2 linked regions of the Callithrix jacchus genome follow. The protein of the gene in region 1 interacts with the protein of each later gene in a biochemical or structural test. Links are inferred from orthologs where the notes say so. Each region holds a gene or a part of one and is shown on either strand. Other genes may lie near its edges. The genes, in order: DCN and TGFB1.

The links.
Region 2: the proteins of DCN (region 1) and TGFB1 form a complex in vitro, tested with the Homo sapiens proteins (3 studies listed by BioGRID). The link is inferred for Callithrix jacchus from reciprocal best matches to the Homo sapiens genes DCN and TGFB1.

What each region holds. Positions count from the first base shown.
Region 1 is NC_133510.1:89,998,124-90,002,527, forward strand, and holds the end of DCN (decorin), read left to right. Parts: intron 1-3,104; coding exon 3,105-3,299; 3' UTR 3,300-3,824; downstream 3,825-4,404. UniProt on the Homo sapiens protein: May affect the rate of fibrils formation.
Region 2 is NC_133523.1:36,619,872-36,623,690, forward strand, and holds part of TGFB1 (transforming growth factor beta-1 proprotein), read right to left. Parts: intron 3,303-3,819; coding exon 3,225-3,302; intron 3,090-3,224; coding exon 2,939-3,089; intron 1-2,938. UniProt on the Homo sapiens protein: Transforming growth factor beta-1 proprotein: Precursor of the Latency-associated peptide (LAP) and Transforming growth factor beta-1 (TGF-beta-1) chains, which constitute the regulatory and active subunit of TGF-beta-1, respectively.

The sequences.
Region 1 (4,404 bases):
CAAGGAATTGTCTTGTTTCTTTGTTGAAAATCACTTGACCACAAATGTAAGAGTTTATTTCTGGACTTTCAATTTTATTACACTTATCTATATGTTTAGTCACATGACAGTATTGTACCTTTCAATTATTGTAGCCTTACGTCAAGTTTTGAAATTAGAAAGTGTAGGTCCTGGCCGAGGGCAGTGGCTCATGCCTATAATCCCAGCACTTTGGGAGGCTGAGACGGGTGGATCACTAGGTCAGGAGTTCAAGACCAGCCTGACCAACATGGTGAAACCTCATCTCTACTAAAAATACAAAAATTAGCTGGGCATGGTGACACACGCCTGTAATCCCAGGTACTCAGGAGGCTGAGACAGGAGAATTGTCTGAATCTGGGAGGCGGAGGTTGCAGAGAGCCAAGATCGTGCCAGCCTAGGTGACAGAGTGAGACTTCGTCTAAAAAAAAAAAAAAAAAAAAGGGAAATGTAGGTTCTCCAAATTTGTTTTGTTTTGTTTTCAAAGTTATTTTGGCTATTCTGGTTCTTTTGCATTCCATATAAACTTTAGGATTAACTTGTTCATTTCTGGAAGAATATTCTTGTAGGGCTTTGATTGTTTTGAATCTATAGATAATGACTATATTAACATTAAGCCTTCCAATACACGAGGATTATTTATATCTTCTTTTCTTATTCTCAACAGGTTTTGTCATCTTTAGCATATATGTCTTGCAATTCTTTTACTACATTCATTTTTTTCATTCTTTTTGATGCTGTTTTGAATGATTAATTTTTTTACTGGTGTGCTGCTAATGTACAAAAGTATAATTGATGTTTATGTATTGAGCTATCCTAGTACTATGCTAAATTTGTTTTTAGTTATAGTGATTTTTGTGAGTTCCTTTGGATATTCTATATTCAGGATATATTATTTACAAATAGCTTTAATTATTTTATTTGGATTCTTTAAGTACACCACTCTGCCCCCAACCCACCCATTACATTGGCTGACATCTCCAGTGCAATGTTGAATGGAGGTAATGAAATTAGACATCTTTGCCTTATTTGCTAGTTTAGGAGGAGGAAGCATTCATTGTACCATTAGTTATGATGCTAGCTATAGGTCTTCTATAGATGCTTTTTATCAAGTTGAAGAAGTTCCCTTCTGTTTCAGGCTTACCAAAAACACTTATTATGAATGTTGTTGTTTTTTCTTACATGTTTTTCCTGCATCTATTGAGATAATCATGTGAGTTTTGGCCTTTATATTTTTGATATACTGTATTACATTGATTGATTTTCACATGTTAAACTAATTTTACAACCCTGAGATAAATCATGTTTGGTCTCATAGTATATGATCGTTTTACATGTTGTGAAATGTAGCTTCCTAATATTTTGTTAAAGATTTTTTTTGTCCCTATGCATAAGAGATATTTGATTACAGTTTTCTCTTCTTATGATGAATTTTGTCTGGCTTTAGTCTTAGAAAATATTGATCCCATAGAATGAGTTTCGAATCTACTTTTATTTTCTTTACACAGGCTAATACTTATGTCTTGATATTTTCTTCTCTTGTTTTCAATGTTAGCCATAAGTGCTCACCAAACACCCCTTCCTTTACTTGCTGGAACATAGAGGATAGTAAGTGACAACAAGAAACTCAAAATTTGAGACTCATAAACCATGCATATAAGTGTTGCTTTCACTTGAATATTCCTTGTTTCTGTTTTTATATGACATCTACTAGTTTGCTTTTAAACCCTTACAGAAACAAAGTCATTTTAACCAGCACATAAATGTGAATGTCCTAGGAGGTAGAGCAATGTTTCAAGTTATTTTTAAGGGAGTACTTCATAGGTTTTATAGCTCACTTTAGACCTTGTTGTCTTAGTGTTATATTCTAACCTAGCTTGTATGATTTTGGATTCGTTGCTTCAGAATTCATATCCTCAGAGTGGAAGTGTAAACTTATTTCTAACATTCTTTGTATAAGTCTGATATTTAGTGACCCTAAGAAAATCTATGGACAAATTACCATTATCTTAAACATGATTGTAAAACATAATTCAGAAAAAAATTATGATTTATTATATAGCACTATATTCATTGAGTAAAATGTATTACATAAAATCCACATTTGTTAAAACTTCTAGGTTTAACAAATTTATTCTAAATGCTGTGATATTTAAATATTTAAGTACTTTTTGGAGTTTGTGATTATTTCAATTCCAGTACTTTATACCCGCTTTTTCTTTTTCACTACATAGCACTTTCTCATTCTGTATAATTTTGTTAAAAGGTTTATATATTTTTACCCTGAAACCATAATGTTTCATGTAGGCCCAATATAGTTATGTAGACCTGGTATATGAAATAACATTTATTCATTCAACATGTATTTATTGAACACCTGCTCTGTTGTAGTACTGGAAATGCAGCCATAAACAAGCAGAACCATTCCTATCTCATGGAGCCTTTACTTTAGAGGAGAGAAACAAACAATAGCAAATACGCATAATATGCTACATATTGATAATGCTATGAAGAAAAATGAAGAAATTTAATATAATTCTGCCCCAGAGAATGGCAGAATGGGGTGGTCAAGGAGGGTATCTCTGGTAAGAAAAAGTGAATTACATGAGGCAGCAAGCTTTGACGATGCTTTAGAGATCATTCTAGGTTGAGTAAATGCTGTTGATAACTTAAGAAGAGATCATGCTTTGTGCGTTAGAAGAGCAGCAAGTAGACCAGATGATTGGCTTGTACAGTAAAGGAAGAGGTCAGAGTAAAAGGATATTAGATCATGTAGGATGTGTAGGCCCCTGTAAGAACTTTGGATTTTATTATTCTGCATAACACAAAAAATAGGCGGGCATGGTGACATGAGCTTGTAGTCCCAGCTACTCAGGAGACTGAGACAGGAGAATAGCTTGAACTTTGGAGGCAGAGGCTGCAATGCACTGGGGTCACACCACTGCATTCCAGCCTGGGTGACAGAGCAAGACTTTGTTTCAAAAAAAAAAAAAAAAAGTGAAGGATAAAAAATATTAAAAAGAATAAACTATTCAGCTGAAGGGCCTCAACATTTAGAGAATAACAATTATTGTTTTATGTTGCAGGTTGTCTACCTTCATAACAACAATATCTCTGTAGTTGGATCAAGTGACTTCTGCCCACCTGGACACAACACCAAAAAGGCTTCTTATTCGGGTGTGAGTCTTTTCAGCAACCCGGTCCAGTACTGGGAGATACAGCCATCTACCTTCAGATGTGTCTACGTGCGCTCTGCCATTCAGCTCGGAAACTATAAGTAATTCTCAAGAAAGCCCCCAATTTTATAACCTGGCAAAATCTTGTTAATGTCATTGCTAAAAAACAAATAAAAGCTAGATACTGGAAACCTAACTGCAATGTGGATATTTTACCCACATGACTTATTATGCATAAAGCCAAATTTCCAGTTTAAGTAATTGCCTAAAATAAAAAGAAATTTTGCCTGCCATTTTCAGAATCATCCTTTGAAGCTTTCTGTTGATGTTAACTAAGCTACTAGAGATATTCTTATTTCACTTAATGTAAAATTTGGAGTAAATATATATGTCTATATTTAGTAAAGCTTTTCTTTTTTAATTTCCAGGAAAAAATAAAAAGAGTATCTTCTGTAAATCATTGAGCAGTTAGCTCCTTTGAGATAAAGTCAAATGTCAATCACTAGCTCTGTATTAACCCCCATTATTACTGGTAAAGCCTCATTTGAATGTGTGAATTCAATACAGGCTGTGTAAAATTTTTGCTACTGTCATTATTTTGAAAAAATAAATTTAAAAATACATTCAAAATTGCTATTGTATACAAGCTTAATTGTAAACATTCCCTAAACACAATTTTATGAAGGGAGCAGACATTGTTTGTTGACAATAACAGTACATCTTTTCAAGTTCTTAAGCATTTCTTCTACCTCTCCCTGTCTTTCATTTGAGTATGGTCATCTGTTTAATGTAAGCTTAAAAGCACAAAGCATACATTTCCTGATTGGTCTAGAGAACTGATATTTCAATTTATTCTTCTGCTAAATAAATATTAAAACTATCATGTGTACTTCATGTAATCAGGCTGCACATTTCTACAATTACTAGATACATTAGACATAATTATTTTCTTTAGTTAAACACCCAATGTTAGAAGTGTTTTCTGTAGAATTTAGCAATAGCTATCAATGCATACAATTTAACAAGCCTGGGGATGATTTACTTAGAGTAAACATTTATCAAATTGTACATTTATGATATCAATGATTAATAAGCAAATATGTGAAAATAGTTTTCTATGAAGTTGAATGTTTGACAGTTAAAAATCCTATCAATTGTAGTTTCATATGGCAAATAGTAATTGAAATACTACAGGATACATTTAAATAAT
Region 2 (3,819 bases), on another chromosome or scaffold:
AATGGGTGGAAAATATATTTCCTCTTCCTTATGATTGTCTTAAGTACGTTTTCTTTTCTCTATCTTATTTTTAAAATACAGGATATAGGCCAGGAGTGGTGGCTCATGCCTGTAATTCCAGCACTTTGTGAGGCTGAGGCAATCAGATCACCTGAGGTTAGGAGTTCAGGATCAGCCTGGCCAACATGGTGAAACCCCATCTCTACTAAGAATACAAAAATTAGCCAGGTGTGGTAGTGTGTGCCTGTAATCCCAGCTACTTATGAGGCTGAGGCAGGAGAATTGCTTGAACACGGGAGGCAGAGGCTGCAGTGAGCCGAGATTTTGCCATTGCACTCCAGACTGGGTGACAAGAGTGAAACTTCTCAAAAAAAAAAAAAAAAAAAAACACCAAAAATACAGGACATAGGCCGGGAGTGGTGGCTCATGCCTATAATCCCAGCATTTTGGGAGGCTGAGGCTGGTGAAACCCTGTTGCTTAACATTTCCTCTGTTCCTGTCTTTCTATAAAACTGTTGGGATCTACAGTCCTGATCGGAGTTGCCTTTTTTTTTCATAGACAGGGTCTCGCTCTGTTCTGAAGTGCAATGGTGTGATCCCAGCTCACTGCAGCCACAACCTCCTGGGCTCAAGCACTCCTGCCTCAGCCTCCCAAGTAGCTGGGACTACAGGCACACACCACCCAGCCCAGCTAGTTTTTTGGTATTTTTTGTGGAGAGACAGGGTTTTACCATGTTGCACAGGCTGGCTTGGAACTCCTGGAACTCCTGAGCTCAAGCGATCTGCCTGCCTCAGCCTCCCAAAGTGCTGGGATTACGGGCATGAGCCGCCGCACCCGGCCTTCAGGTTTCACTTTTTGGCAAGACTTCCTAGGCAACGTTGTGTCCACCCTACGGAGGCTCACATGGCTGGCTGGCTCCTATGTCATGTCAGCTGCTGTTGGCACTCGAGACCTCAGTTTGCTCCTTCACAGGGTTGCTGGGCTGATGGCGCTAAAATCTGATAGGGAAGGAGTCTGGGAGCAGGGCTGATTTTCCGGCAGAGGAAAAGCAGGTGACAAAGCCCAAGACACCACCAAAGTATTTTAAGCAGGGGAGGAATGAGGTCAGATGATCACTTCCATTTTACCACATTCTAACTCTCCGTTTCAACTTTCTAGGAATCCAACATTTCAGCTTTCTTAGAGTGCACGGTTAGTATTCCAGCATCTTCCGATGCTAACATGCTGACAGCATTTTCAACTCTCCAGGATTCCTACTTTCCAAACTTTGAGGATCTTGGCATTCCTGACTTCCAGTATGCCAGTACCGCATCCCGACATTCCACAGTTCCGAGCCCATCACTCAAGAGGATCAAGCTAACACTTTCCTTTTTTTTTTTTTTTTTTTTTTTTGAGATGGAGTTTCTCTCTTGTTACCCAGGCTGGAGTGCAATGGCGCGATCTTGGCTCACCGCAACCTCCGCCTCCTGGGTTCAGGCAATTCTCCTGCCTCAGGCTCCTGAGTAGCTGGGAATACAGGCACACGCCACCGTGCCCAGCTAATTTTTTGTAGTTTTTAGTAGAGACGGGGTTTCACCATGTTGACCAGGATGGTCTCGATCTGCCGACCTCGTGATCCACCACCCACCTCGGCCTCCCAAAGTGCTGGGACTACAGGCTTGAGCCACCACACCCGGCCTTTCCTTTTTTTTTTTTTTTTTTGAGGTGGCGCAATCTCAGCTCAGTGAAACCTCTGCCTCTCAGGTTCAAGCGATTCTCCTACCTTAGCCTGAGTACCTGGGTAGCTGTAATTCCAGCTGAGTAGCTAAGATTATAGGTACCCACCACCATGCCCGGCTAATTTCTGTATTTTTAATAGAGATGGGAGTTCACCATGTTGGCCAGGGGTGGTCTTGAACTCCTGACCTCAGGTGATCTGCCCACCTTGGCCTCCGAAAGTGCTGGGATTACAGGCATGAGCCACCCGGCCTGCTGCCACTTTCTATTCATAAATTCCCAGCATTCTAAGATTCTAACATTCCAGCACTGAGTCACAGCATGCTGGAATACCAATATTCTGGCTTTCTCCAGCTCCTACATTTGTGGGTGTGAATATTTTAAAACAGAATTCTACCAATGTGAGCCCAATATTCAAAGATTCCAGTCTGCCCACACTGGGATGCACATGAGGAATGGTGTAGGAATTCCACATGGGCCATCTTCTCATTCTGCACCCCCAAATTATAGGATCCCAGTGTTTCATCTTTCCTTCAGTCCAACATTCTCCATTTCAGTAATTAACACCAAGTTCTAGCATTCTAGACCCTCAACCTACTAACAAATTAGGGATCCAAGATGGTGACCTTCCAACTTTATTCCACCATTCTCAGAGTTCAGCTTCCTAAGGTTCTGTGATTCCAACACTCCAGCAAGAAAGCAACCTGATCCCAACATTCCAAGACTCCAACTATTTGTTTGTTTTTTGTTTTTTGAGACAGTCCCCACTCTGTCGCCCAGGCTGGAGTGCGGTGGTGCGATCTCGGCTCACTGCAACCTCTGCCTCCCAGATTCAAGTGATTCTCCTGCCTCAGCCTCCCAAGTAACTGGGATTACAAGCGCCCGCCACCATGCCTGGCTAATTTCTGTATTTTAGTAGAGACGGGGTTTCACCATGTTGTCCAGGCTGGTCTCAAACTCCCCACCTCAGGTGATCCGCCTGTCTCGGCCTCCCAAAGTGTTGGGATTACAGCCTCCCAAAGCCCGGCAAAAGACTCCCGGTTCTTACACCCTAGACCCCATCCCCTAAGCCCTTCAAGCTTCAGCTCTAGCCCTCCCTTTAGGAGAAAGACGCTCAGCCCAAGCACAGCATCAGCCAGGTGTCCAACCTGGAGCACCAGGTCAGCAGATGGCAGTCATGCCCGCAGCCTAGAAGGCCTCTATCCAGGCTGCAAGGTTCACCTGAAGCAGTAGTTGGTGTCCAGGGCTCTGCGGTGCCGGGAGCTTTGCAGATGCTGGGCTCTCTCCAGCGGCGTGGCCATGAGAAGCAGGAAAGGCCGGTTCATGCCGTGAATGGTGGCCAGGTCACCTCGGCGGCCAGTAGAGAATCCTGCTTTGGTGTGGGAGTCAGAGGATAGGGGACATATACAGACATCTCAGAGGGACAGACGGGTGGGGCGTGGGGCAGATGAGGACACACACATGCACACAGATCACAGCTGGGCATGGCCAGGGAAGTGGGTCTTACCGTTGATGTCCACTTGCAGTGTGTTAACTTGGCTGTCACAGGAGCAGTGGGCGCTAAGGCGAAAGCCTTCAATTTCCCCTGTAGCAGTGGGAAGAGGGAAGCCAGTCTGTGGGTGTAGCTCACCCAGTCCCTGGAGGAAGAGGAACGAAGGAGCAAACCCCAGGGGGTTCCTTCCTGCCTCCCCTGCCCACCCTGCTCTGTCCTCTCTGCAGCTCTCTTGCTTCATTTATTTATTTATTTATTTGAGACAAGGTCTTGCAGCCTCAACCTCCCAGGCCCAAGCAATCCTCCCACCTCAGCCTCCCAAGTAGCCAGGCCTGTGCCACCATGCAAGACTAATTTTTTTTTTTTTTTTGAGACAGAGTCTGGCTCTGTTGCCCAGGCTGGAGTGCTGTGGCACGATCTCGGCTCACTACAACCTCTGCCTCCCAGGTTCAAGCAATTCTCCTGCCTCAGTCTCCCAAGTAACTGGGATTACAGGCACACGACACCATGCCTAGCTAATTTTTTGTACTTTTAGTAGAGATGAGGTTTCACCATGTTAGCCAGACTGGTCTGGAACTCCTGACCTCAGGTGATCTGCTAGCCTCAGCCT